4 linked regions of the Oreochromis niloticus genome follow. The protein of the gene in region 3 purifies or fractionates together with the protein of the main gene of each other region. This does not show direct contact. Links are inferred from orthologs where the notes say so. Each region holds a gene or a part of one and is shown on either strand. Other genes may lie near its edges. The genes, in order: hells, xpc, wdr76 and parp1.

Region 1 (7,819 bases), on a different chromosome or scaffold from region 3:
ATGTGACTTTGAATGTGGAACGGCTAAATAATGCAGATCTACTGGGATTTTACCTCACAACCATCTCAAAGGTTTAAAAAGAAAGGTCCAAAAAACCCAAAAAATAACCCCCTATTTCACTAAAGTATGCAAAAGAACCAGGCCAGCATGTCAAACCTTGAAGCAGCAGCAATTAACACACTTCTTGCCCACCAAGAACGGGAAACTGAGACTACAATTTGCATGGGCTCACCAAAATGACACAACACAAGACAAGACTGGAGAAGCATTGTTGGTCTGCTAAGTCTCAATGTCTGCTGCCACATTTGAATGGTACGGTTGGGATCTGGCATAGAAATACATGAAGGCCCCATCCTCACTTCTATTAATGGTTTAGGTTGGTTGTGGTGATGTAGCAGAGGTGGGGCCATCTTCTTGACACATCCCTTTGTCCCCACTGTACATCGTTTAAACTGCACAGCCTGAGTATTGTGGATGACCACATTCACGCCTTTATGAACACAGTGTACCCACAGTGTGATTAAAGTGCCATGCCACAAATCTCAGATCAGTTTCTCCAGCATGACAGAAGTTTACTGTACTCAGATCGTCTCCACAGTCACCAGATCTCAATCCAATCTTTGGGTTGTGGTGGACCAGGAGAGCTGCTTTGTGGATATGCAGCCATCAAATCTGCAAACTGTATGATGGTAAAATGCCAGTATGGACTGTTTCCAACACCTATGCTAGAATTATGACAGAAAGCACAACAGGGTCCCAGTACTAGCAAGGTGTACCTAATAAAGTGTGCATAGAGTGTAAATGCTACTAAACAACTGACATCTGAGCTCCATACTGTAAGTTTAAATATTAGAATACTGGCTCACCTCTGTCAGCTTCTGCACCGTTGGCATTTTGCTTCTAAAAGGAAACAAACTGCCGTGAGTATGGCTGGAAACATGATTGTAACTGTAAATGATGACTTTTTCAATAAATCTATCACCTTCTTGGCTTTCTTCTCAAGTTTCTCCTTCCTGAGTCTCTCCTGAGATGGTCATTAGCAGAGCAGAAGTGACGTGTTAGCCTTGAGTGAACAGGTGCAAAAAGTCTGTACGGTCCAAATTTTACACCATACCTCATTCTGTTGTTGCTCCATTTTTGTCAGCAGAAACTTTGAATAGATGTTGCTCTTCTGAAGCAAATGCTGGAGCCTCTTGAACCGCATGTCATGCGAGTCCCTCTCCCAAGACTCCCTGGCCTTATGGGAAAGGTTGAAAGCAATTACATTAACATGAGTGGGCTCGAAAGCGTCCAGCACATCAGTGATGTAGAAACATCTCAATTGTGGCTCATCATCACATGAACTCCCTGATCTTGTGGACCGGTGAGCTACAGACACACATCTATACGCTTTTTACTCCCTAAAATCTGTACCAGCATCGCACCCACACAAACAACCCAACTAAAACTAATGTTTTACTTTTACTAATGTTTTAAAACTAATGAGTTTAATAATGAGAAGTTATTAATTTCAACATTTAATCTGATAAAATATGCCAGTTTTGGATAGTTTAAAAAATACAACTCCCACGTTGAGAAATTAAACGACATACCTTTTTCATCATCTCCTTCTCTTTCCTCTCGCCTTGCTCCATTAGCTTCTTCTCTTCTTCCTCCATTTCCTTAGTAATCACCACTTCAGGTGTTATTCCCTCAGACTTCATACTCTCATCTTAAAAAACAACAACAACACTGACAGTGACACGACCTGAACAAGTCTATGTGCACAGCATCTTTTCAGTAACACAAGTGTAAGATAATTAGCCTTTACTAGTTAATGAGCATGTGATATGGAGCCCTGTTCCTAATGAACTGGCCACATCTCATCAGTGTCACCTGAGAATTAAGCAACATGACAGCAAAGCACATGCCTCATCAAACTGGCTCTATCTCAGCTTGCTTTGCAGCTCTGTAGGTCAAAAATGGAACTTACCTTCAGTAGCACCAGTTTCAATGGCTGTGCCCAGCGGCTCCTCAGACTCGTCAGGTTTGGGGCAGTGAGGGGAGACACTTCGAGTTTCTTCTTTTAGGCTATCAGCAGAAAAATGAAATCTACTCAGTAAAACTTTTCCTGCCATTTTTCAGAGGTGAGTAAACACCATTTAGACCCTTCCTAGGCCCTGTAACCGAGGTGAAATGATACATTTGATTTGAAGGGATGAAATACAACACGAGTATTTCAATACTCTGCATATAACTTTGGTGCTAAGCTAATGTAGATACTATACTTTACCATACAGGATGCAGTTTCAGACAGTTTTTCTGTGCTGTCTGAAACGTGATAATCGGTGAACATCTGTGACTCAGAATATTGCAAGTTGTTGTTATAACTTCTGGTTAATTAATGGTGATAAAAAAAATCTTCCAGATCGCTGCAGAAAAGGGATGTATGCTATTTATTTATTTTTTCTCTGGGTGGGAGTTGTAAGGGTGCATTTGTCCAACACACGGTGGCCTTGGTAACAGTAAACGTGCATCGAAGCTTTACAGAGAAGAAAATGATACTTTATCGGAAATTGTAACTATTATGTTAGGAACGAGGAGACTCAGGGCTGCAGTATTACAGCGGGCATACTGCCGCCTTTGCGTTCACCTGTACAGGTCTTTGAGCCGAGTTATTACAGTGCACGTATGCTCCACGCGTCACACATGTGTCGCGTACCTCTCGAGTTTTGTTACTGGCGCGAGTGTACGATCGTGTCGGATTTAATGATATTCCAGCACAGCAGCTCAGAGACATACACATATACAGAAGGAGATGTTGGCGTAGGTGAAAACTTTAGTGGGTTTTTTTTGGGGGGGGGGGACACTGGACAAAGTCTTGGCTTCCGGTCTTGCATTCTCCTAAAAAACGCTTAGTGTCTGAGGGGCGACACCTACCGACGCATATCGTTCAGAGCCGTACTGCAGCGACTTCCTGCACCGTAAATAAAAGTTTCTGTGAAACGCGGTAGCTGCGGTGAGTGAAGCGACCATTACACTTACCAACTCATCGTTGTTGGCAGCGATGCAGACAGTCCAAATTATGCGGGTTCTTCGAGCTTTCTGTGAAGCTTTTCAAAGCGTTCCGTTTCTGCTCAAAACAGCAGAGCTTCGTCAATTACACAAGCAAGTTATCCAAACAGTCATACAACTCACTCTACCTAGCCTAGCTGACTGCTTGTATTTATGATAGCTGTGCAATGTCGGAGCAGTATGTCCGAAAATGTTCCTTTCTCTAAAACGTGAAAAAACATTCAACGAAAAGAGTTTGACGTGAGTACTCTGCAGCCCGAATAACGTGTTTTTTATTAAGCAGACAGAAATATGAAATGTACTTCCGACAGCAGCCTTTCAAACAAAAAGTGCGTCCGCGAAAAAGCTACGTTGAAGTTACGATTGTATTTTATTTTGAAGGCAAATTCATCTAGTTTCCGCCATTTGTCTCTACAGTCCTGAAGCTAAGATTTTTATAATGGGCGGAGCTTTCCAATTTCGCGCCATTTCGGAGGAAACCACTATTTGTGAAACGGGGTGGTGTGTGATTTAAGGTAGAAGATAATAACATTTTGGTTCACATTAATCGAAACGTAGCAAAAAAAAATTGTAATTAATTAACTAATAATTAAAAGGTTGTCTGATTTATACATTACAGAATATCGTATGTATAGACAAAACTATTTTAAGAGGATGGTCACCCCTCTGAGTGGAAAGATGTTTTATAACTGATGTGATTTTTCCCGCGAATGTAAGGCTGTGCAGTGAGCAAATGACAAAAAAAAAACCTCTCTCTCAGTCGGGAAACTAGACGGTTGCTTGTTTGCTGGCACCAGCTGTTTTTTATTAATAGTTTTAATCCCTCAGACTCAGGATTAAATAGAAGCCTTCAACAGTAATGATGGGAAATATTTTCTGCAGAATAACTGTTTATTTTGGATACAACCTGTCCATAATACATTGTGTAGTGAAGTATCTTCATAGTGTTTTAGCTATTCTTTTGCAAATGGAATGGTTTGCAAAAATATCCTCCACAACCTGTTGAAGCCGCTATGGTTGCCTGACATCCAAAACCAGGCCTCCCTACGCCTGGTTCTGCTGGAGGTTTCTTCCTTTTAAAAGGGATTTTTTTTTCCCTTCCAAGGAAAAGCACTTGCTCACCTGGGTCGTCTGATTGTAGGGTCCTAACCTTACAATAGAAACCACCTTGAGGCAACTGTTACTGTGACTTGTCACTATATAAATAAAATTGAATTTAAAAATTGAATAGTTGTATGAAACCAGTGACTTCAAGAATCAGGATTGGCCCTTCAGTTAGCCATTCAAGGTGTGTGTCATACATTAGCAGCTGGTTCATTTGTGCTTTCTTTAGCCAGTAGGTGTGAATCATGTCAGGACATGATATGATTTATACTCATTTATACTCACTGCAATGCAAATAGTTATAATTCTGAACAGCCCTCAACTGTTTGTATGACCAGCACCTTTTTATTAATGGTTAAGAGCATGAAAGTTATGTCTCTGACTAATTCATGCTGCAGACTTCAGATAAGTGACACAACCATGTAATATATACTCATTATTGATGAGCTCGGTATAAAACAGCAGTCCACGTGTAAATATTCAGCTACCCCAGGCTGTGTTGTTTTGCAGCCATACTGAAGTGGACAGTAGCTTTCAACACCATTCTTCCCTCAGTTCTGAAGGACAAGCTGGAGAACTCTGGAGTGGACCATCACCTCACAGCATGGATACTGGACTACCTCACCGACCGACCACAGTATGTGAGGACTCAGGGCTGTGTGTCGGACAGGGTCGTCTGCAGTACGGGGGCCCCACAGGGAACGGTTCTGGCTCCGTTCCTCTTCACCATCTGCACTGCAGACTTCTCCCACAACTCCACCCAGTGCTTCCTGCAGAAGTTCTCTGATGACTCTCCAATAGTCGGCCTTATCACTGATGGGGACGACAAGGAGTACAGAGGACTGACCCAAGACTTTGTGGACTGGTGCCAGCTGAACTACCTCCAGATCAATGCCAGTAAAACCAAGGAGCTGGTGGTAGACTTTCGCAGGCACAAACATCCTCCACTGCAACCACTGAACATCCAAGGTATGGACATTGAGGCTGTGGACAGCTACAGGTACCTTGGTGTTCATCTGAACAACAAACTGGACTGGACTCATAACTCAGACGCCCTCTACAGGAAAGGGCAGAGCAGGCTGTACCTGCTGCGGAGACTCAGGTCGTTTGGAGTGGAGGGCCCACTCCTGAAGACCTTCTATGACTCTGTGGTGGCCTCTGCCATTTTTTATGGTGTGGTCTGCTGGGGCGGCAGCATCTCTGCTGGGGACAGGAAGAGACTGAACAGGCTGATCCGAAGGGCCAGCTCTGTTCTACGATGCCCTCTGGACCCAGTGGAGGTGGTGAGTGACAGGAGAATGGCGGCTAAGCTGTCATCCCTGTTGGACAACATCTCCCACCCCATGCAGGAGACTGTGACAGCACTGAGCAGCTCCTTCAGTGGGAGACTGCGGCACCCACGGTGTGGGACGGAGAGATTTCGCAGGTCTTTCCTCCCCACTGCTGTCAGACTTCACAACAAAGACTTCAACTGATCAAACACACACATCCACACATGTGCAATAACACTAATGTGCAATACTCCTTTCTGGCATCGTTGTATTTTTACTCAGTTGTATATAGCATTTGTATTCTATTTTTATCTTATTGTATATTTTATTCTACTGTATATAGTATTTTATTTTATTTTATTCTATTCTGTACAGTTGTGTACTATATTTATTCTTATTGTATTCTAATTTTTGCTTCATAACTTTTGCACTGTCCACTTCCTGCTGTGACAAAACAAATTTCCCACGTGTGGGACTAATAATAAAGGTTATCTTATGTTTAACATTCACACAAAATCGCAGCATACAAAGATTCCTGGATGAACACAGCAACTAAATCCCAAACATAATTCACTTCATCTATCAGTGGCGGCTGCAAATATAGGCGTTTAATTAAAACATGTTTAGCCATTACATATAATTATACCTGGTGACACTGCTCCTGTGTAAATAAGCAGCTGATAAATGAACTTTGGTCCTTGAAGGTCTGACAGTTTGTGACTAGAGGCTTTAATCTGCATTGCTGCAGGATTTAGACCTGAACTAAACTTTCAGAGATTTACAGAAATCAGCAGACTCAATTCTGAGAATTTAGAGAACCATTTTAAGTTTTTATCTCCTACTACTGTAATTATCCTTTTCTCATTTTCTTGTTTTTAACCTTGGTTACTTTTGTTCATTTTTCTTCCATTTATCTTATTCTTTCATCTGGATTATATTTTGTTCATTCCCATTGTGCTTTTGAAATCCAGCTATTTCCCTCTTCATGTAAACTAGCAGTCAAAAGTTTGGACAACACCTTCTTTTTCTTTATTTTTACTACTTTGTACATTGTAGATACATACTGACGAAATCAGCTATATGAAGCAAGATACATGGAATTATGTATCAAAGAAAAAATGGATAAATAACTAAATAGATAGAAATATGTTTTATATTTTAGATTCCTGAAAGTAGCCACACTTTGCTTTGTTGACAGCGCTGCAAACCCTTTGCCTTCTCCCAATGAACTTCCTGATGTAGTCACCTGACATGGTTTCACTTCACAGGTGTGCCTGTCAGGGTTCATTTGTGGAATTTCTTGCCTTCTTAATGGAGTTGGGATCATCAGTTATGTTGTGCAGAAGTCAGGTTGGTAAACAACTGACAGGTTGAGAGATTCAATCAGCTAAGTAAAGAGAAACAACAGTCCATCATGACTTTAACTGAAGGTCAGTCAGTCCTAAAAATTGCTAAAACTCTGAATGTGTCCCCAAGTGCAGTTGCAATACCCATCAAACACTAATAGCAAATAGCTGCTAAGCTATTTGACCATAAAACCACGACTAAGGAAAAGCAACTAGCAGAAGAGATTTGTTTGGGCCAAGAAACACAAGGAGTGGACATTAGACCAGTGGAAATCTGTGCTTTGGTCTGATGAGTCCTGGCCTCCAGTCACCTGACCTAAACCCAATGGAGATGGTTTGGGATGAGATGGACCGCAGAGTGAAGGCAAAAGGACCAACAAGTGCTCAGCATCTGTGAGAACTCCTTCAAGACTGTTGGAAAACCATTTCAGGTGACGACCTCATGAAGCTCATGGAGAGAATGCCCAGAGTGTGAAAAGCAATAATCAAAGCAAAAGGTGGATATTTGGAACAATCTACAATATGAAACATGTTGAGGTATTTCACACTTTTCTGTTTACATAATTCCATCTGTGTTCATTCATAGTTTTGATGCCTTCAGTGAGAATCTACAATGTAAATAGTCATGAAAATAAAGAAAAAACATTTAATGAGAAAGTGTGTCCAAACCTTTGACTGAGAGTGTATATTATCTTGGATTTTTCTCGCCCCCCCCTCCAGAGGGACAGCTGAACCACAGTTGAGTCTGCAGATATTGCAAAGTCTGATCAGAAAGGCCTCAGTGTTCTTTTCTTTGCCGAGTATTTAAAATGACATGTTTTAGGGTTCAAATGCTTCAGCTCAGCTAATATTAACTGATGCTCCAGGGGTTCAGGCTACAGGTTATTTCAGGACAGCAAGTGGAATTCCTTACAATTTATGTGCATCCAGCGACACACACAATGACCATCGTGTTGTGACTTCTTCTTATCCAGAGTTTGTTTCAAACTGAATCCAGTCGCCTTTATTATGAAACGAACATTGTATTTTATATATGCAACTCAG
Region 2 (7,457 bases), on a different chromosome or scaffold from region 3:
TGCTCCAGCACACACACACACTCTACTTTATCAGCAGAATGAAAGTGCTTTCTGGCGGTATTTGAATGAGACAGAAAAGAGCCCTATTCAGCCCCTCTGCCTGGCTTTTATTAACACTGCGCGTCACTGAGGCGACATAAGCCTCCCCCCCCTCGCACCCTCTCTGTTGCAGACAGACACACTCACACACACACACACATGCGCACACACACACATAAACAGAGGGAGGTCTCCTGTTCAGGTATGATGATGCCTCCTCCTCGCTTTCCCCCCACAATCCCTCTTTTTTTTTTGTTAGCTCCTCCTCACTTGTGGGCTTTTGTTACCTCACCCCCTCCTCCTACTACTGTCCTTTTCCACCACACCTCCCTCCCTCCCTTCTCTCTCACTCTCTCTCTCTCTCCCTGCTCTCTCTCCGTCTGTTTGCCTCTGCCGCTGAATGAAAATACGCACAGATGCGTAAAGGGGCGGTCAAACTCCACATATCCACCGGTGGCAGCGGCAGCATCACTGACCCTATCTCTTTGAGGACGAGAGGACGGGAGCAGGGAACAACTATTCTTTTGGACAATTCTTCAGGCCCTCGAAGAGAAGCCCAAGCGCGACCCCGGAGCCCACCTGTTTGAAGCCGGACACTGTTTGCTCGAATCAGAGCTCAGAAGACGCCACAGCAGCAGCAGCAGCCCGAGAGGACACAGGGAATGCGGGTACTGAGTCAGAAGAAGAACCTGCAGGGTCCCGGCTCGGATGCACGGATGCTCGCTTCTTCATCTTCTTCTACCCCCCCACCTTCCCCTTTCTCCTCCTCCTCCTCCTCCCTCAAGCTGCTGTTGCTCGTCTGTGGCGATCCAGAAATAGCAGCAGCTTGTCTGGAGGTTGTATGAGAAAGCGTCTGAGATGTGGGGTTTATTTGCGGTAGTTATGTTTTCAGCTAAGAATTGCCCGTTTTGTGAATTTGTGTTTGTGTGTGTGTGTCTCTCCCTCTTGTCGCCTCTATTTTGAGTTTCCAGCTTTGATACCACTTAGTGTGCTGGAGTCGTACTAATTAGCGGCCTGATTGACAGCTCGGTAATTGGATTTATTTCATATCCGCTCCTTGAAGTTGCGAAGCCTCTTAAGGCACAAGAGGAATGGTTTCTGGGGCTTTATTTCTTTAGAAATCAATAATAACATACCTACTCCAGACTTGTAGGGATTTTTTTAAGAGGGAGAAGGAGGGATTCTAATTTTAATACAGTTTCTTGCCAAATTCTCAATCCTTTTGCTAAATCCTTCCTGGGGCTTAGGAGGACAGCAGATATTTCAGCATTAAAACATAAACTCCACTGTAGAAATATGTCTGTTATTGAGACAGATCTCAGTCTTACATGTGTTAGCAGACATTTGTTTATGGGGATAATCCAGAAATGGCCATATATGGTAGAAAAAGTGGGGGATTCAAAAACTATCAAGTAATACATTGTGTTAAGTGGACTTAAAAAGTACCAAGCTGCTTTAAAACCAAGAGTGTCCAAGTGGACAACAGGTGCTCACTGGAGGAAAATCTGCCCCCTTTATAACTTACTCAAAAAAAAATCCACATGTAAGAAGCAGCACAGATTAGAGCGCGTGAAGAGAGATGATATGGAGAACGTATGCTCCAATTACGTAAGACTTTAGCACCAAACAACCAAAATCTATTATCGATGTTGATTTTTTATGTTTTTAAACCTATATATGTTAACAAGAAGGTAACTGCCTCATTTAATCAAAGAAAAAAAAAATTCAAATGAACATGCATTGTAAAAATTTTCAAACATTTTCCTGTACTTGTGTTGCAAATTCACATGAATTGCCTTTGGGAAAGCTTTAAGGGGTGAAACAGATGTCCTTGTGATATATACATATATATGGATACATACAGGGTAAGGTAAAGCAAAGACCCTGTGTGGTTACTCAGTATCCAAAAACAAGGTCTTTGCTTTCGAACATGGTGTTTACTACTGCTATTTATATTGTTATAAAAATCTTCTACACCATACACTGGGACAGCTCGCGCTGATCATCATCAATACAGATCCAGCTGCCGTGGAGACAACAACGTGGGCATAAAATAGCCCGTGTCCTTGCATTGTGGATGTCAAACCTGTTGCCACACCTCACCAACACTTGCCTTTGACAAGGCTTCATGTACTCCCCATCTGACTTGCAGGCTGTTTTCTGATTAGTCTCGGTGTGACACTGTATCTTCAGCATACCTGGAGTGCCGTGCAGAGTCATCTCCTATAAGCTCGTTTTTCTCTCTTGGTTTCTGTGTCCTTCACCTGCTCTTATCCTTTTTCGAGTTTTTCTCGCCCAAGGGAGTTTCAATTGAATCTCTTTCCATCTATCATCCGACTCCATGCGTGTTTGTGAGTGTGTGTGTGTGTCCTTGCTCATAGAACTCAGTCCTTTCAATGCCCCGTGCATTGTATGGCTTTTTATTCCTATCTGACTGTACTTATGGTTCATATAGGGATGGAAGCCATGCACTGCGCTGGGAGCAAAGCGCACACGACCATGGACTCCTGCCATGTCACCTCACCCATCCACATGCTAAGGACTATATGTATAAGCACACTCTTAGCCTAGCCTGCATGCTCACATATGCATGCACGCATCCACATAATGGTCAAGGCAAAGCAACTAACAGAAGTATGGACGCACACGCGCTCCACACATAAACGCGCATTCATTTATGCGTATGCATGCAGTATGTATGCATATGTATGGTGTATGCAGTACCTATGGAAAGGGCCCCCTGGTTTCAGGAGGCTCTTACTGCAGTGAGTCAGTCTGAAGCTGTCTGACTGTATCAGCTGACAGATGGCTCTCTGAAGTGAAACACACACACATCTGCCACAGAACCTCAATGTGATCGATACAGATCACAACAGGGCTGAATGAAAATTAAATTGAACTGAAATGAGCTGAATTGATTCAGAACCAAGAGGCAGAACTTGTTTGGTGTGTCACGCAGACCCCGGCGCAAAATAACAAGATGAAGAATGCGCTCAGGCATCATCATTTACCCACTTAAGTCTTTTTCAGGGTTCCAGTGGGAAAATGAAAATGAAAATGAAAAATCCCCCCAAAAAACAGCATCGCGCTCGGTGGAAGGCAGTGACACGGTTGACACACAGATGACCAAAAAAAACCACCTCCCAAAAAAACACTGATATCTGCTTGTGTAAAGTTTTAGAAAATAACTGTGAGGAAATCCCTGTTCACAATACCTAGAATAGCACAGGATAAGGTGGGAAATAGTATTTGGGGATATACTGAATTGGATCAACCCCTAAAAACAGTGGTAATAAGTATTATTTGGACTGATGTACAATTAATTCAGTCTTGGAGTGACACAGTGGAGCAATACACAGAGCTTTGAGTCTGTTGTGTTTGCTTCTGCATCACATGACATGACACCAGCTTTTCTGCTTCTTATTTCTGTATCTTTCTGCCAAGGATTGTTTTTTCTTTGCAAACAAGGTGATTTTGACAGACAGCTGAACGGGCCTTTTAATGGTCTCATGTCCCTGGTGATCATGCAGAATCTGTTCAGCAATGTATTAAAGTCCAATCCAAATTCGTGACTGGCTTTTTTCTGTTTTCTTTCCAGTTGTTGCTTCGTCTCAACACATGCTTCCGGGCATACTGGGGTCTGTGGTGAAAAAAAATCCATTTATCAAGGGAAGACCATTTAAAAAGTTCTCATGAATCATATTTGGCTGCTTTTATTGAGTGGAGCTCAGGGTGGTTTGCATTAGACAGTGGATAACAGTGTTTTTCATTTTTCAACCTCTCGCTCTCATTCTCAGCACAACCACTGACTTCCACTGATGACACCGCATGCTCAGTTACAGCCTGTTTGATAACACTGAACATCAGCCCTTTCACTCATGTAACAGCAAACATGCTTAGTTACCACTAAATCACATCAAACATGTACAGTAGCTAGAGGTTCTTCTGATATTGTGTCTCTACTGTAGTTTTCTACTGTTGAACTCACTGAACATGCTTCTGGCTAAATGCTTCATTATATAACCTAAAAGAGATCACTGGCTGTTAAAAACGAGTATGAATATGAAACCTAACTATCAGGAGCATGTGGAGCTGACCTTTGTCGAGGTTGAAAACCTTATGGAAAGCACAACACCACCCCTTAGCGCCCAAAAGTGGTATTACACCTATATATATATATATATATTAGACCATAAAGCCATTTATAAACAAATGTTGGTGTCAGCCTACTTAAAAATACCCAGGTGTTAGCTTGTAATTATAGGGAGCTGAATTGGGTCTATTTAGTGAAGAAGAAGAAGAGGACAGGAGAGCGGATATGACGTCATGGTCCGGCCTCCAAAACAACCGGGTGTAGTTTCTTGTGTTATGAAAACTCCTGAATGGCAGTGTTAGGTAACTGTTGTTTCCTCGCCCTTATACAACAGCATGTGGAGCTCTGACGGACTACTGCTCTTCTAGCTCTGGATATTATTATTCAACGAAAGTTTTTCCACTGACGGCAGCTAGCATGGCGAGGAGAAGAGAGTGCGCAAACACGGGGGGCGACACAAAGAAACTGAAGCAGGTGCTGAAAGCGAAGAGCAGCGGGGCAAAAACAAGAGCGAAGAAGAAAGATGCTGGTATGAAAAGTCGGAGTTGCCTAAAATGTGTGTCTGTCATTTAATAAATGAAACCGCTAGCCCCCAATAGTTAGCAAACTAACTGAAGTACAGGGGAGGTTAGCTAAGCGGTCTGTGCACAGTGAGCCTGGGTTCATGAATAAACTTGCACACGTTCATCTGAGGAAGAGTTTCACACAGATGACTAACATCAGCATCAGCCGTAGTAAATGAAAAATACTGCTTCACAATATTATAAAATAGTGGACATGTAAAACACATCCTCTGTCATCCATTCCCTCTGACTGCTTTTTGTGCAGTTATAGCGTGACATGAATATAATTTATGTCACAGATAAATACAAAGCTTCAGTTTATTGGGGAGAATGCATCATATCGAGCTATTATAGCCATCACCATAAAGGCACCGTATGAGCATCCAGGTGCACTGCTGAAAGATGTGCATGGTTGCTGAAGTGGATCTACTGGCCCGGATGCACATCTGTGCTCCACATAACAAAACACCAACCATATTTTGTGCATAGATGGTGTAAGTGTGTGTGTTAACTTCCCTTCATGCTTTGCGGTAAATCATTCATAAACTGTGGTTTTTATTCAGATAAACAATGCTGTTTCACCTCCTACAGTAACACAAAAATGATTCTCCAGATAATTAAGACACTTTTGTCAATTTTCTGTAGCAAAAAAAGAAAGAAAAACATCTCCATTCAGAAAATTGGCTCATAATATAATGCATTTTTAGGGTGGTTGTACTTCTGTTTTGTATTGAAGTGTTTTCCTTTATTCTCAGTCAAGCACAGCAGCTTCAAAACATCTTTCCATCTGTTTTACCAGGTGAGGACATCACAGATAAAGAGGAAAAGATAGAGAGGAAGGTCATCCCTAAGCCACGTGTCCCCTCAAAGCGAGCAGCAGGAAATAAGTTGTCTTCCCAATCTGACACCGGCTCTGCTGTCAATACCAGCAAATACTTTGAGTCACCCATTATGGAGGAGAATGATAGCGAAGATGACTTTGATATGGTGACCTCCCCACCACGGCTGCTTAAGGTGAACACCAAGAAACCAGAGAAAGAAGAAGAAGGAGTAGGGGAGGACAGTGAGGAGGAAGATGAGGATGATTGGGAGGAAGTGGAAGGTAAGTGTAAGATCGGTAATATTTATGATTACGCATTCCATGTGTTTTGTTTGTTTTGTTTTGTTTTTTATCCTTATGCCAAGCAGGGAGCAATTGAAAACAAAGGAAATGAATTGTGTGTGTGTGTAATCAGAGCTAGCTGAGCCGCTGGGTCCACTCGAGCCTCTAGAACCCGTCCTGCCCTCTGAGCCTGTAGAGATTGAGATCGAGACCCCAGAAGTCAGAAAGAGGTAAGTGAATATAGAGTATAGAATATGCACATGCTCAACATGAAATTCTAAAGTTTTGAAAATAAAATAGTTCTTTAAAAAAGAGTTGCAAAACAGACTTTTTTGTGATATTATTTCTTAAACAGTTGAGGTGTTAATCTGTGTAAAATGAAACGAACACAGGAAGACATCCAAAAGTCAATCAAAATAAATAAACCTCATTATTAAAACTCAGGAATCACTAGCATAATTTAAATTAAGGCTTTTCTTTAGTTTCATTGTGTTCAAGCTCTGAGTTTAGTTTGGTTTTATTTAAACAAAATCAATCTGAATGTAGCTCCAGACATTGTTAGCTGATGTCTCCAAACTCCCGACCCTCTCATTATATTCAGGAAAACATTTTTGGGTCCCGGAGTCTCATTCAAATGTACATTAGTATGAATTTTCTCCACAGGTGTCAGGAGAGGGGACCTGTAATTGTGCGTTTATGTGATTAGCTTGTGGAAAATGCGTTATCTATGGGTGTGCAGTTAATGGTATATTTGTTTTAAGCCAATAATCATGATTTCTGATTGGCCAGGCGAAAAAAGCAGGCGGAGCTTGAGACGTATCTGAGGCGAATGGTGAACCGATATAAGAAGGACCTGCTGATAGACACCCACAAGGTGAAAACACGCTCTTCAGTTCTACCTTTCTTCACTAGCTCATCCCTGGCTTTCCTAACCTTTGATTGGTCTCTTAGGTCCACCTCATGTGCCTGATTGCCAGCGGCATGTTCCGCAACAGGTTGTGCAGTGAACCAGACCTGCTGGCCATCACTCTGTCGCTGCTGCCTGCCCACTTTACCATGGTAGCTAAGGACCGCATTGACCAAAACTACCTCTCTGGGCTTCTTAAATGGTATGTACTTATAAATGTGAAGTTCCTGAAATTATTTTAATGCCAGAATGTGTAAAACTGAGAAATTTTCACAGTAGGGACAATAGAGCTACTATTCAGAAGCCATCAGTCACTGGTAGCCTTGTATAATTAGCACCATATCTTATGATTCCATTTCCGTCCATCCGGCTCTCTTCTTTCCCAGGTTTAGAGCAACATTTACCCTCAACTCCAGTCTTCACTGTGAAGAACGTCCGGACCCCCAGAGGCTCCTCGAGAGGCGACTGGCAAGCCTCTCAGCCAGAAATCACGAGGAGATGACTCACGTTAGTAGTTTGGCATGAAACCGGTCCATTTTCTATAAAACAGTCCCCCTAGTTGGACGTACAACTGAAAAATAAATAATTATGCGCCTGTGTTTCCTGCAGCTGTTTCTCTTGGTCCTACGCTCTCTGCAGCTCTTCTGCCGATTGGTCCTTTCTTTGCAGCCGATTCCTTTCAAAGCCCCATCAGCCAAGGTACTGACAGTTTGTTGCTTTTCCTTTAAGAAGACACTGCGGTATAATTACAAC
Region 3 (8,149 bases):
ATCTTTTGATTTTCGCATCTTTTAGACCTGCTCAGTCATTAAAGGCAGTCATGTCAAAAGGACAGGTCCTTATCCTGAGTTTGTAGACTGGAGGATGAAGGGCGACTTTGTGACTCCTGTGAAGGACCAGGTATCCTCATACGTTCTATAGCTCTTAAAGCCTTTATAGCCATATTCTCCTTTTGTTAAGGAAATATCGTGCAAAGTACAATATTTACAAAGTCGTACAAAGTCTGTATTTTTTGTGCTTTCTTTGAGTTGCATTGAAGCACAAAAGTGCTTGCATTGAAGTGTTTAATCTCCAGAAATATTTTGCTAAACCTTAAAAATGTACCACCTTTCTGAACAAATACACAGTGTCAATTTTTTTTAAGATGTAATGAAAGGAGAGGAAAAAACTGTGACTCTCATTTACTTGTAAAAGTGGCCACTCTTATGTTTCTGCTAGTAAGTTATAATATTTACCCTTTTTTTCACTTTCATTTTTACAGTTATATTCTATGAGAAACATGTGGCGGGACACGTTTCATGACTAAACTGATCAGTGAGAAACAAATACAACATAAAGAATATGTTTTCTACATGTGCAATTTTTTTTAAACAACATACCTCAGTCACAGCCTCTGAGAGAATATATTCTATAATATATTATATTATTAAATATTCTAAATAGAGAGTTTCATTTACAGATGGTTTCTTCAGTTTTCATTTACATTTTACAGCACCAAAAATTATCGTGGTAAGCATTTATATATTTGTGCCTCTTTAACATAACTGAATTATCAGTTGTTTGAGTTGTGTTTGTATCTTTAGGGTTTTTGTGGCAGCTGTTGGACCTTCTCCACCACTGGCTGTCTGGAGTCAGTGAATGCTATTGCTACTGGGAAACTAATACAATTGGTAGGAGTTATTATTATACACAAATATAGCTGGCAGAAGAAAAGTATCCATTGTTTCTGAGTATATTCGATTAATGCTCTTTATTTATCTCTGTTTTAGTCTGAGCAGCAGCTGCTGGACTGTTCCAGAAATTTTAGCAACTATGGATGCTTTGGGTAGGAATCATGTTTGTTTGGCCTATAACTATAACGTGTAAGATATTTTATGTTATAGAAACAGCATAATAATATAAGTATAGAATTTCAATCAATCAAAGGCTGTGTGGTTTATTTCAGTGGGTTCCCCAGTCAGGCATTCGAGTACATCAAATACAGCAAGGGTCTCATGAGAGAGGAGGATTATCCCTACAAAGCCTTTGTATTATTTTTGAGAGTAAAATCTTTCTTTCTTTATTTTTTTACATATGATAAAATATACAATAAAAAAGTTTTATCTTTCCTGTTTTAGGAGGAAAAATGCCATTTTGAGCCTTCACTTGCAGCTGCATTTGTCCAAGATGTTGTCAATATAACAAGTGTGAGTGTGCGAACAAATAAAGTTGCACTGTGGATGAAATTGTACAATAAATGTGCTGTGTGAGTGTCTTTGCATATGCTGGTTAACAAAACAACAGATCAATACAGTAAAATGCGTTTTTGTTGTTACCCAATGGGGGGGAAAAAGTAACTGTTTTAAATAATCTGAAGCAGTTTGTCTTATATATATTGTTTAATTTTTACTATTAAAAAAGGCAACTGTTTTATAGTAAATAGGGAACTCCTCATACATCGACCTACTCAGGTATATGTTATAATTTGTGTGTGCCCATTCACAGTATGATGAAAAGGCCATGGTTGATGCAGTGGCCCGGCTCAATCCTATCACCTCCTGCTTTGACGTCACAGCTGAATTTAAGCACTACAAAGAAGGTGTTTACTCCAGGTGAGATCAACAAGCACTCATGCATTTACTACTATTCAAGAAGTAGAGCTGGTCTGGGATTTTAAGAGCAGACCAGAATATACTAGCCTCACTTTGTTTCTGTTACTTACACACTAATTTAGACAGACAAACAACATATTTTTACTATTTGGATAAAATCCTTTGCAAAGAAGTATAAAACATTTTTTTTAAGCCTCTGAAAACTACAAATGGGGGACTGTGTATAAAGAAGTATCTCTATGATGACTGTCATACACAGTGTTGGGGAGTAACGGAATACATGTACCGCCGTTACGTATTCAGAATACAAAATATGAGTAACTGTATTCCGTTACAGTTACCGTTTAAAAAGGTGGTATTCAGAATACAGTTACTTTGTTGAAATAAATGGAATACACGGCGGTACTTCCCTGTTTCATATTGTCGCGGGTCAGGATTGTTTGGGTTTGTTTGACAGCTACGTTCTGTTGTTCCAGGCGGCAGCGTTACGGTTGCCATGGTTACAGGGTGACGCGCTCTCTCTCTGCGTGTTTCCTGGGTGAGAGAGCGCTTTTTTGTTGTTGTTGTTGTGCTAAGCTAAAAGGCAGAATGCTACAGGCATAGCTCTAAAGCATGTAGCCTGATGGGCAGTGTAGTCCGTGCGGCAGGGAGAATGGACTACCATACCCGTTATGTGTCTGTGAGCGAGGGAGGGAGAGAAAGGAAAAGTCCGAGCTGTCACGGAGCAAAAACGGGAGCTGGAAGCATGTAAATATAATAATAACCACTGCAGCCAAGAAGAGTGCCTGAGGAGCCCATTTGTAAGTAAGCTATTAAGACTCAACTGTACACTGTGTTCGTGTTTTCCTCCGGAAAAAATAAGTTCCGTTGGAGAAGCCTTTCAACGCCTCTCTCTGTCTCCCGCAAGCAAAGTTGACCCAGACAACAAAGTAAAGCTAGTTTTCGGCTACCAGCCCGACACGAACCCGACGTATTAGCCAGAGGTCCCTTTACTACGTTTCGGAGCCGCGGACCTTCAGTAACAGTAATAAATCACAGCAATAGGACATTCATGTAGTTGTAAACAGCATGATAATATATTAAGTACTCCAAAGTATTCAGAATACGTTACTCTCATTGAGTAACGTAACGGAATACGTTACAGAATACATTTTGGGGCATGTATTCAGTATTCTGTAGTGGAATACATTTTAAAAGTAACCTTCCCAACACTGGTCATACACCACATATTTTGCAAATGTAGGATGTAATATAATATTGAAAGAGACAATCTGCCCACTCAACCTTCAAAAGACATGTGCTCTATTGATCTAGTGTTGTCTATTTAGCACCCAGTGTAAGAACACAACAGACAAAGTGAATCATGCAGTCCTGGCGGTGGGGTATGGCACCGAGAAGAACGGCGTGCCGTATTGGATTGTGAAGAACTCTTGGGGCACAGCCTGGGGAAAGGATGGGTAAATATAGTCTGTGTGTATCTGAGCTTTATGACTTGTAACAGCTTGCAAGAATTCCTGATATCTCTCCTTTTTATTTCATCAGATATTTTTTGATCGAGCGTGGAAAAAACATGTGTGGACTGGCTGCCTGCTCTTCTTACCCTCTACCTTAAGCATCTAAATAAAAGGGCAACAAAGTGGAAACTCTTGAGCATGTGTGTATCGAAATGTATTTTATTCAGCCTAAAGGCCTGATCTCAACTTACGGTTTCTAACATGTTTTCTGGAAGTTTAATTTCTAAACACCTTATTATGTTTTTCTTAAAACTGAGACATGAAAATTTTGAGTCAAATGCAAGAAAAGAAAAATTCAATCATTACTTTAAGACACAAACTCATTTTAATAATTACATTTTGGGGAAAGGAAGCATATGCTTTACATTAATACAGATGTACAGTACTTCTTTCTAACTATTCTTGTGCACTTAGCTATACTGCATCTCGACTAGTATGTATCATCATGTTTGCACAGGTTTATTACATTAAAACACCTTTTCCCCATTCAGTCTGTCTCACAATAATAGATGAAGACGTTTCAGTGTAGCTATGTGCATGTGTATTATAAAATGCATAGGTAAGTGTAGCACAGAACTATTTTTCTGTTTTTCCACAAGCCTAAAAAAATGTGATAAAAAACATAATTGTGTGGATGTGTATGTTTTTCCAAGTGATCTTGCGATGTTTACAAAATTCATTTTAAATAGTGTGTTTCAACATGGTCTAAGCAGTGCTTGTGCGTAAAACCTCATCACTAATGTCTATCAAGAGGCTACAGTGGGTGCATACATAGATTAATTACTGACTAATAATCATAGTATGGTATATCATACTTTAATAACTGCTTTAGTGAAAAACAGATTTTTCTAACATGACCTATAGTGCTCCATGGAAACAATATAGGCCACATATTTCAACTCAAGACCCTGGGGCCAAAGGCAGGCCTTTGCAAATTACATGCCAAACTAAACAAATAAAGATTACATGTTGATTTTACAGCAGCATTTATTTTTATGCACCATTGTTGATTATAGAACATTTGTTGAGAACTTTATGTGGCCCAAAATCAGGACATGAATTAATCATATTTTAGGTTTTTGATTATCTGTTTAATCTATTTCTTTGCAAATAAAAAAAGTTAATGTAATGTGTGTTTCTCTCATATATAAAGATTTTCTGTTTTATCCACTGACAAACGTTGGCAGTTTGTTTGTTAAACGTTAACCAATAGCATTTGTGAATAAATAACCATGACTTTCCTGTCACTGCTATTCCCCTATCCTGCCATAAGATGGCGACATCATCCCAGCAGAAGCTGTGGCCAGCTTGGCTGTTGGCGGGAGGGACCTAAACCTTTCTTCTCGTGACGTAAAAATATAAACCAATCAGGTGCCAGTATTCTGTTTCACAACAGAAGGGGAGGACCAGTTACAAAACATATGCAGCATGTGGCGCCAATTGCGCCCCCCATGTAATTATCGTGACCGTAATAGTTGTCACTTGAGAGGTGTTCACGTCTCGCTTCTCTCAAACAAATACTCGTATCTGTCATTGTAAATGAACTAAAATGGCGACTCTCCGAACAAAGCGCGAAGCTCTTGTGCTTGTGAAGGTACAGTAGTCTTGTTTTGATGTGGTTTCCTGTTTTTAAACTTATCCTCCCTGTTTTAGGCAGCTGCCTCATAGCATTAGCATCAAGAAGCACAGTTTTAAGTGGAGGTGTGTTGTGAGTTCGCTAAATCTTCGGTGAGAAAGTTGAATGAGTGCCTTAATGTCTCTGAGTAAATTGTTAACGAGGGACACCTTGCAGGAAATGACCCCTGAGAATCTCGAGGCGACAGTGCGACGATCATCTAGAAACGGTCTTGCACCTAAACGCCTCCAGTACTCTCCCGAGGAAGAAACTCCCAAGAAAAAAAGGGTGAGAGCTCGTTCACAGTGATGGGACCGAACAGTCATTTTAAAACTGGACGATTTGTTAAATCTGTCGTAATTTCTTGATAGAAAACAAAAGCTGTCGCTGAAAATGGCAGTCAGAATAAGAAACCAAAGGATGAGGAGGATGCTGAAAACAATGACGTGGAGCATGCACCTGTGAGTACAGAAACTTTACACAGTTTGAATTCGACTTTGTGACTGACAGAAACATGTTTTTATAGGTGTCTGTGCAGGTTCTCAGTCATCCAGCTCATGGTAGTTTAAGGAACTTCTAATGACTTGAAATCGGCAATTTTCTTGCAGTGTGTCAGTGCTGTATCTTTGTGTAACAGGAAGAGTATGGGAGACTTTCTGCCTATGAACTGGAGCGCCTGGAAAACATCAGACAGAACCAAGCTTTTCTGTCTTCTATCAACTTATTCCAGGTATGTTATTGACTAAATCTGCTCTTTATCATCTGCATTGCAAATCTTTTATGGACCTAAACCTATCACTATCAGCACCATCAACATAAAGTCTAAATTCGACCAGCAACAGTTGACATGTAGACCAGCTACAAGCCATATTTACTGGTGTAATTAACCCAGGTAGACTATGAGTGAGGAATAAATCCTTATGAAAAGGACCATATCTGTGATTCTGTCATTTGTCTGGATTATCAGAGTATCAATTATTGTTTTCTTTTGTTTAAAGGCCACAGAGGAGTTCAAGCAGCTGACTCGACCAAAGCCATCGCAGAGAGGCCTCACAAGGTACAGTCGGAATAATCAGGCATCGGGATACTGTGGAAAACCACAGTGGTGCAGAAATTATGAGAACAACATGGTTTTTCCCCTCCCATGTTTTCTCTGTGGAACATCACAGTGCTCCTATAATATACTTTGTATTTGTTTTTGAGACTGAACTTTGTGAAGCTCAGGAAATAAGACTAGACTTGTCAACTCAACGTCATTAAGTACGAGAAAAAAGCAGGGCTCGCAAAATCGCTAGCCTGACGTCCCGGGGCTAGTGATATAATAGCCTGTCAGGCTATCATATAGCCCAACGGGCGGGGCTGAGATAGATTTTGGTCGCCCGACTGGAGATATCGCTAGCCCCGGGACGTCGGGCTAGCGATTTTGCGAGCCCTGAAAAAGTAACTTTTATGTTTGTGAATGTCAGGAAAAACAATTTGAATTTACCCTGACCCTGTGTCATGTTAAAATAGGAAACATATCTTTTTGGGCCTCCTGTAATGTTACATTTCTTTGATTGCAGGGCACATGCTGCTGTAAAAGAAGTCTTGCCACCTCGCAAATCACTGCGACTCCAAAAAAAAGAAGCCGAGATCCTGGAACTTCCTCCTGAACCGAGAGGGACACTTATTTATGAACAGGTACAGAAATCTGTAATGTCTCAGTTCACGCAGATCCACTGCTGCACCTTAAGTCTCTTTAGTTTTTTTTTCTCGTTCTTCCTCTCTGGGTATGTTACTCATTATAGTTGTTTACTTGCTTTCAAGTCTTCACCAGCAAAGAAGCCCTCTGGCCCTTTGCCCATGGATCCAGTGAATGTGGAAGAAGGAAGCAAGCTGCCTCCACAACTTCTTGAGCTCTGCTCTGAGGTAAGAGTCGGTTTTCTATGATATTTTCACTTTTTTCTGTACAATATTTATTTACAATGCTCACTCAGTTTAACATGTTGCCAGATCTCCAATTTTGGACTAAACAACCCCCCCGCCTTCTTTCCTACTTAAAAGTGAATACTTTATACTGCCCATATTAGCCACAAGCATAAGAACAAAATTCCTAACAAATTTCTTATGCATATCCAGTGTAGTAACTGTTCTTATTCAATTAGGAAGTCATGAAATTGCTTTTCTTTTCACAGGATGCAAAAGAAGATAAAAAGATACAGCTTGACCTGAAAGGGTAAGATTTAATATTTTTATTTGGATGTAAGATTACCGCACAGTTTACAAAAAGTGACTCTTTTGATGTACTGAGGGTCAGATGTTTTGGAAGAACCTGAGAAACAGATGAAGAAACAAGTGCACTGATGTCTGAACACAGGTACCGTTCTTCTGTGAAGAATATGAAGATAAATGAGGACAAAGTGGCCAAAGTGGTGAAGGATCGCATCTTCTCTGCAACCTTCCACCCCTGCACCAGCAGCCTGTTGCTGGCTGCGGGCGACAAGTGGGGGAAAGTGGGACTCTGGAAGTTGGTGAGTTTTCTTTGCCTTAACTATGCATTAGTTCTTGACCACTAGATGGCAGAAAGTGTCTCAACAGTAAAGCTTCATGTCAGGCTGCAAAATTCATAAGTGTTCTCCTCAGGCTAATTGGTCTGCTTCATGTTTGAATTCAGGTTTGTTTTTTGCTTTTTGTGTTTTTTTTGCTCTGAAAAGCTTTATTTAATCAAATGAATTCCAACCACTGATTTACTGCATGTGTACGTTCTTCTAGGGAGGTGACTGGGGAGATGATGGTGTGCTGCTCTTTCAGCCCCACACCCGTCCAGTGGGCTGCATGGCATTCTCCAGGTCTCATCCCACACAACTGCTGAGCCTCAGCTACGATGGATCCCTCCGCTGCATGGACGTAGAGAAGGCTGTTTTTGATGATGTAGGATACCTTCATTAGTTGAGTTCAATCTGGTTACGTTGTAATCCACGAATAAATAAGGTTGTTCATTTTCTAGGTGTATGATATTGAAGATGGCCTGAAAACGTTTGATTTCATGTCACATGACTGTTCGACACTAGTGGTCGGGAACTGGTATGGAGAGGTTGCCATTGTTGACAGGCGCACCCCAGGGTGAGATAATGACATTGTCTTAAAGTAATGAAAGTAGTACATTTTCTTTTCTTTTAAACAACTTTAATGTTGCACTCAAACATTGTCATAAGTATGT
Region 4 (7,967 bases), on a different chromosome or scaffold from region 3:
CATTGTAGGTAAGTGAGCACCAGGGGAAAGTCCGCACCTACTTCATCAGGACCGTGCGCGGTAAGATGGCCAACGATGGGACAGATGGCCGCCTGGCAGGGCAGACAGGAGGACGCATGACGCTGGCAGAGGTGGTGTTCAGTCTCGTCCAGGCCAGACACAAGGAGAAGATGAGAGAAGGCAACAGGAGGTTCAATCGGACTCCCTCCAGACTGCAGCGCTGAGGGGACTGTCAGGGTCAAATGGCTGCACGTAGGCCAGGACACACTGGAGCCATATTCCTTTAATGCTTTGCCATAACTGAATTAGCTTCACAGACAAAATACTGAGCTACCTGTGGCAGGAGCCCAATCCTGTTTAAGCCTTGTTTCTTCCAAGACTGCATCATACCCATCTTTTTTGGCATCTCAAGAAAATTTTGGACAAGTTAATAGGAATTTATGGGAAATCATCCATGCTCATATTTCTATTTCTTGACTTCTGGACCAAAACATTCATCTTGCATGACACACCGAGTGGTATGTGGTCTGAACTTTAGTTGGTTAGGAGCTAACTGAGCTATCTAATCAAAGTTCTGGCCTCTTACGTTTCACAAGTATGTTGTAAGCAGTGCAAAGTGCTTTTTCATCACTATTATTGCCATATCTATACACTATAAGCACTGATTTGAAGGTTGTTTTGTAAAAAGAAAAAGAAAGAAAGAAAAAATCAACATGTCTTTATGTTTGCTGGGATAACACATCAGCAAGACTCCAGACCTCCAAGCAAAACACTACCTCTTAGTACAAATTCTCCTAGACTACAAATGGCCAATATAGAATGATGTTTGTTTGTTTGTTTGTTTGTTTGTTTGTTTGTTTGTTTGTTTGTTTGTTTGTATTATCTTAATTAGTACATTTATGTTGTGAAGTCAAGCATTATTTCTTCTTTATATCCAATAATTTCAAATATGTTAAAGAGATTTTGGTCACTATAATTCACTCATGCAACATAATCCAAAAAGAAAAAAATCCCTTTATTTATAAAGTGATTGCTGCTCGGTTTACTTTTGTAAATACTGTATTTGCATAGTTTCCACTGAGCCAGTATTTCTTGTTTTCTATCTTGTCAGAGTCAGTGTTGTTCTGGATTTATGAGATTCAGAAGATGAACACTGAAACAGTTTTAATGCCAAAAACACCTTACATATCACTGTATTCCTCTTACTGTCATGGTAAAAAGGAAAGCACAACCTCTGTCAGTACTAAGGTTCTTTGTGTTAGGACCTAAAAAAAATCATTTCATCCTTACAAGATCTTAAATGCATTGAAATACAACCTCAGATGAATAACACCACATGTAGAAGCAATGTGTGAAAGACTAGGTACACTAAGTCCACCTCCATAGCTTGTAGAACCACATTTAGCAGCAATAACTTGATGTAAATGTTTTCTGTAAAACTTTATCTATGTGAAGGTCCTCAGTCATCCAGGTCATGGTAATCCAAGGGGCTTGGAAAGAAAAGCGAGTGGACTCCTTTAAGTTTCACCTCTCATCCGTGAAGCTTCTTCATTTCTACGATCAACTGGTGGAGAGTCCCATATTTAGGCCCTAATAAACTGGCCAGCCAGCCTTTGTAATATTGTTTGCAGGCAATCATTTATGCACAGCTCTCTTTCAGTATTTCAGTCAGTTAAGGTCTGGTCTTTGACCAGGCCATTGCAACACCTTGATTCTGTTCTTTTTCAACCATTCTGTTGTAGATTTGTTTCTGTGCTTGGGATCATTTTCCTGTTCAATGACTCAATTACAATTTTTCCCATGTGACTCTAGAATACTTAGGAATACATAGGAATGACTGCAAGGTCCTGTTGCTGCAAAACAAGCCCAAAGTATTACAATTCCACCACCGTGCTTGAGAGCTAGTATGAGGTGCATGTGCTGATATGCTATGTTTTCACCAAATATGATGCTGTGCATTGTAGCAAAAGATATTATAATAGTGAGATATATAATATAATAGTGAGAATAAGCTTTCTCACTATAGAATGATGGACATCAAATTGTTTGGAAGTTTCTTTATAAACCTTCCCAGACTGATAGGCAGCCTTTGCTTTACTCCTTGTCATTGTGTTAACACACAACTGAATGCAGCAGACCATCAAACTGCCAAAAGTTCTACTTCTATATAGGTGCTCATACTCACTGACAATCAATTAATCAAGTGCATTTAATTAGCAAGACCTGTCTGCTACTTACTCTGTTAATTCCTATGGAAACAGTAAGAGTGCACTTAGTTTTTCACACTCTGCTTCTGCACTTTGGCTTAGTTTTTGTGGACGACACAGTGTAATATGTCATATGTTGATGTTATTTTGTTGTTCAACTGAAGTTTCGGTCCTAACTAAGAACCAGAGTGATTATGTCCAGATATGTAAAATGGTGTACTTTCTTTTTTCTTTTCTTTTTTCTATTTACCTTGATCATTTATTAAAATCAAACAAATCGTGATGTAGGAATGTTTTACATTGCAGGTCTGATTCAAACTGACACAAATTCACGTCAGTCTTTATTTTGTTTGTCTTTTAACTTCAAATATTAATGTTAAGCTCCTCTATGGGACTTTGTGCAGTTTTTAAATAGATAACAAAGACATGTTTAATTATTGCTACAGTATAGAAATGTTCACAGCGAATAGTACGTCTGTATCAGCAAAACTTTTTACTTCATTTTTTTAATATAATTTTTACAAAAACATTCAAACCAGTCCAGTTTCTACTAATAAAATCAATTATTACCATAAAGCTGGGTGCTTTTAATTTTTTAACTCTGTATTATTAATTATTAATGACACGATACTCTTATTAAACTCTTTTTTTGAAGGTGTATTCTTCTTGGAGGTGTGTCTTCCTTTCTTGAGAGTCACGACGATTGCTCTTGACTCCATTAGTTCTGTCTGCAGCCAGCGCGGGTCTTCTGCAGCCGGCTCACTGATGCTCTATTTTGAAAGATGGTTCACCCGGAAGGTTTACAGAAAGCTCGAAAAGAATAAACATAATCTCTACAGAAGTTAGCTCATCTACAGTAGTGTCTAATACTCCTTTCCTAGACATAAACAAAGGTTTCCTGACAAACACTGTAGACTGTAATCACATACTGGTTTATTTTCCATTACATTTTTCAATTAAAGTTCTGTAATAATTACAATTACAATTACAATTACAATCTTTATTTATAAAGCACTTTTCATACAAACTGTAGCACAAAGTGCTTTACATGGTTAAAAGCAGCCCACCCCACCCTCCCACTCATTCCCCGCACTGTCATTAACAGAAGCGGTCATGATACACACATCCCCCCCCCACACACACACACACATACACACACACACACCTAAAGAGTAAAATTGGGCTGGGTACGTATTAGCCAAGTGAGGAAACACTATCACAGGGAGCTGTCTGCACCGGGAGCCGGTCACAGACCGTAGCCTCCAGGCTGGGCACACAGCAGGAGGGAGGCAAAGAAGCCCCCCAGCCAGGTTCAGAGGACCCACAGGGCCCCAGCAGCCACGGTCGATCACAGCCCCGGTGCAGAGAACCCCCCTCCGAGGAAACACTGGAGATATGACCTAATAAGAATATAAACAGGATAAAAAGATAAAATAAATAAGAGTGGGATATAATATAAATATAAGTATAAACAGAGTAAGAAGATAAAAAATGAATAAGAATACAATCAATAGGTATTAGGTAAAACTAAATGAATAATATAAATAGAATAACAGGATAGAATAAATAAGCATTAAATAAATAAGCGTTAGTTAAAAGCTAAATTAAAATATCATCTCTCTGAATGCTGTTTCACTGTTGTCACAGGACAGAAATATATTTATTTTCCTATTTTTGTCTAAAATTAATCAAATATAAATATATGGTCTATAAAAAGCCTTTATAAAAGCCTTAAGCATAACAGTAATATAATCATATAATCATAATAATCATATAATAAACATAATAATACAATATATTAATCATAATAATGTTAATAGTCACAGTGTTTTTCATGTATCTGTTGGATTTTGTATAGTACTGAAGAGAATTTATGTGTTTCTTAAGTCAAGATGCAAATCTAAGCAGAGCTGTAAAGGTTTTGTTGTTGTTGTTGTTTTGTTGTTGCTGTTGTCTTTATTTTTACACAATTCAGTTGCATATTTTAGTAATTTAATGTTTAAGGTATGTGTTAATGGATTTTGTGTAATTTTGATAAAGTTTTGAATTATTTTCCTTTAGATCTTAATTCAGTTCTGGTCTTTAGTGTAGGTAGGTACTTTATTAATGCCAAAAGGGACATTACTGTAGGATAAAGGATTTAAAAAATGCATGGAAACAATGAAAACATCATTGTACCACAGTACACAGGTGCGGTACCACAGGTCCGGAGTAAAGGCCTTAATGTGACACAGGGCAAACATTTTGTATGCATACACAGTGATAAAAAAAGAAATGATATAGCCTCTTTATTACGGATATTATCTGCAGCACATGTAGCACACTATGCATCACAGGCTCTACTCCAGAGGCTAAACTCCAAATTTCCATGTCTTTAAATCCTTAAAATCTCACTTTAAGACATATGGATATTCAGCATACATGTCACCTTCACTCGCTCATATCTCACTCAGGAAGAATGAGATTGAGATTGCGAGTTTAGAGCTGTAGTTTTCCCAGATGAGAGAGCCGCTGGTGCGGTGGGAAACAGAGACAGAGTGAGAACTCTCCACGTGACTCTTCTCTCTGCAGGCACGCGGGCTTCTCTCCGCCAGTGCGTTGATTGTTGCGGTTCCTCGTCACCCGAAGAAAGTTGTTCGGCTCGTGGTGAATTTGCGTAGTTCTGTTTTAGTATTAAGAAATAAATCAACTATGGCAGACTCACAAGAGGACAAGCTGTACAGGGTGGAATACGCCAAAAGTGGCCGCGCGTCGTGCAAAAAATGCAAAGAAAACATAGCTAAAGACTCGCTGAGGATGGCTATCATGGTGCAGGTAAGGTGGCGACGTGTGGAGGCAAAGCTGCTCCGTTAACTAGCTTGCTATCTGGGTGCTGCTATCTGCGTAAAGCATGCGGGCTGTTGTACGGGTGTAGTGGATGGGTAGGAGCAGACTGGAGAGTAGGAAAATATAGCTTATGGTGTGGTTTGAGTTGCGCCGAATCAGGCCCTCGTTAGCATTTAAATGGCTGACATTGTCTGTGCACTCCTGTCCATCACAAAGAGCCGCGGAGCCTTTTTGTCTCTGTCTGGCTATTATGCATCTTGCAGTTCATGAGCTAATTTAATTTATGCTTGAAGGCTGCAGATATTCAGAGTTTGTCTATCCCAGAAGACAAATAATAGGAAAAAAATCACAGCACACAGAAGCAGAAATACCACTGCGTGGAAACTGCTGCTGCCCCACAGAGAGGTAATCACTTAAAGAGTCGGAGAGCTGCTTATGTGGCTGCCTGTTTACTCATGGTTGATGGAACAGCTCCAGATTCTCAGGTCACTCAACTTTTCTCTCTAAAGACCTGTCACATTCAGTCTGTGTAATTCATACAAATCAGCAGAGTGTAAAGTACTTTTTGAGCACTTAATGCACCTTTTTTTTAAGAATGTAGGGGTCACACAGGGCTCTATTCTTGAGCCACTTTAGTTTACACCTTGTATAAAGTATGCCTTAGTAAAAGATTTTTTTTTTTAATCTTTGTATATGAACCTTAAAAAATGTGCTATGTCCTAAATATACAATATTTATTCAATTTTCATAGCTATACATGCTTTCTTTTTTGTTACCTGCCCAGGGACTGTCATTGCTAGAAAACAGCATGTTTACATCTTATTTTTTTTAATACTGATGTCCATAAAAAATGTCTCAAAGCCATGGGCTGTTTGTCAAAATTTTGCACAACCTGGATTTAACTTAAGAGTTAGTTCCAAAGTATCTTTGTGTCATGCAATAAATGGATTGAATGCCCTACACATAACATGGCATTGGTAAAGAAAAGAGATGATTAAATAAGTCTGGCAGGAAAATATTACCCTTCTCAGGCATCATATAACCATCGAGCTGGAAGAAGCAATTAGAGACACTTTACACTGTAAAATAAAACATCTGTGTTTGTTTTTTGTTCTCCAGTCTCCCATGTTTGATGGGAAGGTCCCCCACTGGCACCACTTCTCCTGCTTCTGGCAGCGAGCATCAGCTCAGTCCACCGCTGATATCGCTGGGTTTTCTGATCTCCGCTGGGATGACCAACAGAAGGTGAAAAAGGCCATTGAAAGCGGTGGCGCCGCAGGAGGTCAGTACTTAAGTTTTATTAGGCTGTGACCCCTCGTGGAAATGGTTGGTCGACTTAATTAATGTTATCTTAAGCTTCCTTTAGTTATTATAGGCAATCGAAGGAGTAACAGTGTTACTAAGCAGCAGTTAAACATTGCCTCATCAAAGAATCAATCAGTGCAGCAGCAAAGAAAAATCATAAAGTAATTTCATTCTTTAGTGTAAATGCCCTTATCCTGAGAGGATAACATAATTACCTGCTCAGTCACAAGAATTTATAGCAGTTGACTTTGGAAAGAAAATCAAACCCTGTATTATATATTTTAAATGGTTTCCTGATGACTAGACTATAGGTGAAGCTTTGGTAGGCTTATTTAGAGCTGAACACTGAGTCTGTCAGTCATTTGAATGAAAACAACTGACAGCCATTTCAATTGTAGTTGGTCTGACATAACTCAGATTTAACCTATACATATATCTATACATCTGTAGACTCATCATGATATATGTTTTATTACATATAACTGAACCAGCTATAAAAAGATATAAATGTTCAATTTTTGATCTTGTAGGGAAAGGTGACCAGAAGGGTGGCGCTAAAGGCGAGAAGACGCTGAATGACTTTGCTGTGGAATATGCCAAGTCAAACCGCAGCACATGCAAAGGCTGTGAGCAGAAAATAGAAAAGGTTTGGGACCGCTTTTATTGTCTGAAAACTGCTGTTTAAATGTAATTATTTAATTATCTGGTGGCTTAACTTTGTCATTTTCCCATAAATATTTGATCCATTTGAACCACCAGGATCAGATTCGTGTGTCCAAGAAAACTGTGGACCCCGAGAAGCCACAGCTGGGTCTTATTGACCGCTGGTACCACACGGCGTGTTTCGTGAGCCGCAGGGAGGAGCTGGTTTTCAAGCCCGAGTACAGCGCCGCTCAGCTGAAGGGATTCAATGCACTGCGGGCAGAGGACAAAGAAGAGCTCAAGAAGAGGCTCCCTGCTGTCAAATCTGAGGGGTGAGCCAAAATGATTTATTCGGTTTGAAGCCTGGGATTAAAGTTATGATCAGGTCTAGCGTTGATCCCCACTGTTGGTCTCATTTAAAGCCTCTCTGTCCACCACTGTCCTGCAGCACATAAAAATAGCTTTAAATGTGTCCCTGAAAGCCGTCATGGTGTAGGCATAAAGGAAAGGGTTGACAGCAGAGTTTGCGTGTGACAGGATGATGGCTGTGAGCAGAAGCTCAAGAGGTACATAGCAGCGTGGACAGAGAAGCAGGAAGCAGTTGATTATGTGAAGTGGGATCCAGCAGACCGTAAAGAGGAAAAGAACCAGAAAGAGAGAAGTAGCCGTCTTCATCTCTCGTCGCATGCTGGCCGCGGTCCTGATTTGTCCGTCACCTCTGCCGCTTTGCTCAGATGTGATGCGCCGCACTTGCCGCTTAACCGTGACAAAGATTTGGGCGTAGATGAGGAACATGATCACCAGAGGAGTGAGCACACAAGCGAAGAAATTGAAGTAGACCATGTAGGTCATGTCCACCACAAGGACAAAGAAACAGTAGCCCGTGTCAGGCGGCGTCTTGTGCCAGCCCATCAGAGGCACAAGTCCGATGAGAAACGCCAGAATCCATGTGGCGAGGATCACCAGCACAGCGTTGCGAGGCGTCAT

What was found.
Region 1: the proteins of wdr76 (region 3) and hells purify together in Homo sapiens (affinity purification with mass spectrometry; 4 studies listed by BioGRID and IntAct, counting the BioPlex papers as one, with this or other methods). This does not show direct contact. The link is inferred for Oreochromis niloticus from reciprocal best matches to the Homo sapiens genes WDR76 and HELLS.
Region 2: the proteins of wdr76 (region 3) and xpc purify together in Homo sapiens (affinity purification with mass spectrometry; 3 studies listed by BioGRID and IntAct, with this or other methods). This does not show direct contact. The link is inferred for Oreochromis niloticus from reciprocal best matches to the Homo sapiens genes WDR76 and XPC.
Region 4: the proteins of wdr76 (region 3) and parp1 purify together in Homo sapiens (affinity purification with mass spectrometry; 4 studies listed by BioGRID and IntAct, with this or other methods). This does not show direct contact. The link is inferred for Oreochromis niloticus from reciprocal best matches to the Homo sapiens genes WDR76 and PARP1.

Annotation. Positions count from the first base shown.
Region 1 is NC_031978.2:31,194,815-31,202,633, forward strand, and holds the start of hells (lymphoid-specific helicase), read right to left. Parts: upstream 3,431-7,819; 5' UTR 3,033-3,430; coding exon 3,025-3,032; intron 2,415-3,024; exon of another isoform or gene 2,273-2,414; intron 2,071-2,272; coding exon 1,973-2,070; intron 1,712-1,972; coding exon 1,593-1,711; intron 1,238-1,592; coding exon 1,115-1,237; intron 1,025-1,114; coding exon 983-1,024; intron 901-982; coding exon 867-900; intron 1-866. UniProt on the Homo sapiens protein: Plays an essential role in normal development and survival. Involved in regulation of the expansion or survival of lymphoid cells. Required for de novo or maintenance DNA methylation. May control silencing of the imprinted CDKN1C gene through DNA methylation.
Region 2 is NC_031984.2:25,596,353-25,603,809, reverse strand, and holds the start of xpc (DNA repair protein complementing XP-C cells), read left to right. Parts: upstream 1-4,344; 5' UTR 4,345-4,549; coding exon 4,550-4,661; intron 4,662-5,494; coding exon 5,495-5,797; intron 5,798-5,930; coding exon 5,931-6,027; intron 6,028-6,586; coding exon 6,587-6,671; intron 6,672-6,748; coding exon 6,749-6,906; intron 6,907-7,090; coding exon 7,091-7,211; intron 7,212-7,313; coding exon 7,314-7,403; intron 7,404-7,457. UniProt on the Homo sapiens protein: Involved in global genome nucleotide excision repair (GG-NER) by acting as damage sensing and DNA-binding factor component of the XPC complex. Has only a low DNA repair activity by itself which is stimulated by RAD23B and RAD23A.
Region 3 is NC_031965.2:28,107,192-28,115,340, reverse strand, and holds the start of wdr76 (WD repeat-containing protein 76), read left to right. Parts: upstream 1-4,726; 5' UTR 4,727-4,884; coding exon 4,885-4,929; intron 4,930-5,127; coding exon 5,128-5,238; intron 5,239-5,321; coding exon 5,322-5,411; intron 5,412-5,587; coding exon 5,588-5,680; intron 5,681-5,948; coding exon 5,949-6,007; intron 6,008-6,512; coding exon 6,513-6,630; intron 6,631-6,756; coding exon 6,757-6,858; intron 6,859-7,124; coding exon 7,125-7,165; intron 7,166-7,306; coding exon 7,307-7,460; intron 7,461-7,701; coding exon 7,702-7,860; intron 7,861-7,936; coding exon 7,937-8,052; intron 8,053-8,149. Other genes in the region: pro-cathepsin H, read left to right, coding at 26-130, 814-900, 1,000-1,055, 1,176-1,257, 1,348-1,416, 1,715-1,821, 3,150-3,278, 3,364-3,433. UniProt on the Homo sapiens protein: Specifically binds 5-hydroxymethylcytosine (5hmC), suggesting that it acts as a specific reader of 5hmC.
Region 4 is NC_031980.2:10,088,254-10,096,220, forward strand, and holds the start of parp1 (poly [ADP-ribose] polymerase 1), read left to right. Parts: upstream 1-4,755; 5' UTR 4,756-4,898; coding exon 4,899-5,021; intron 5,022-6,152; coding exon 6,153-6,315; intron 6,316-6,868; coding exon 6,869-6,984; intron 6,985-7,097; coding exon 7,098-7,312; intron 7,313-7,318; exon of another isoform or gene 7,319-7,367; coding exon of another isoform or gene 7,368-7,967. Other genes in the region: si:dkey-206f10.1 (adenylate cyclase type 8), read left to right, coding at 9-224; adenosine receptor A1, read right to left, coding at 7,368-7,967. UniProt on the Homo sapiens protein: Poly-ADP-ribosyltransferase that mediates poly-ADP-ribosylation of proteins and plays a key role in DNA repair.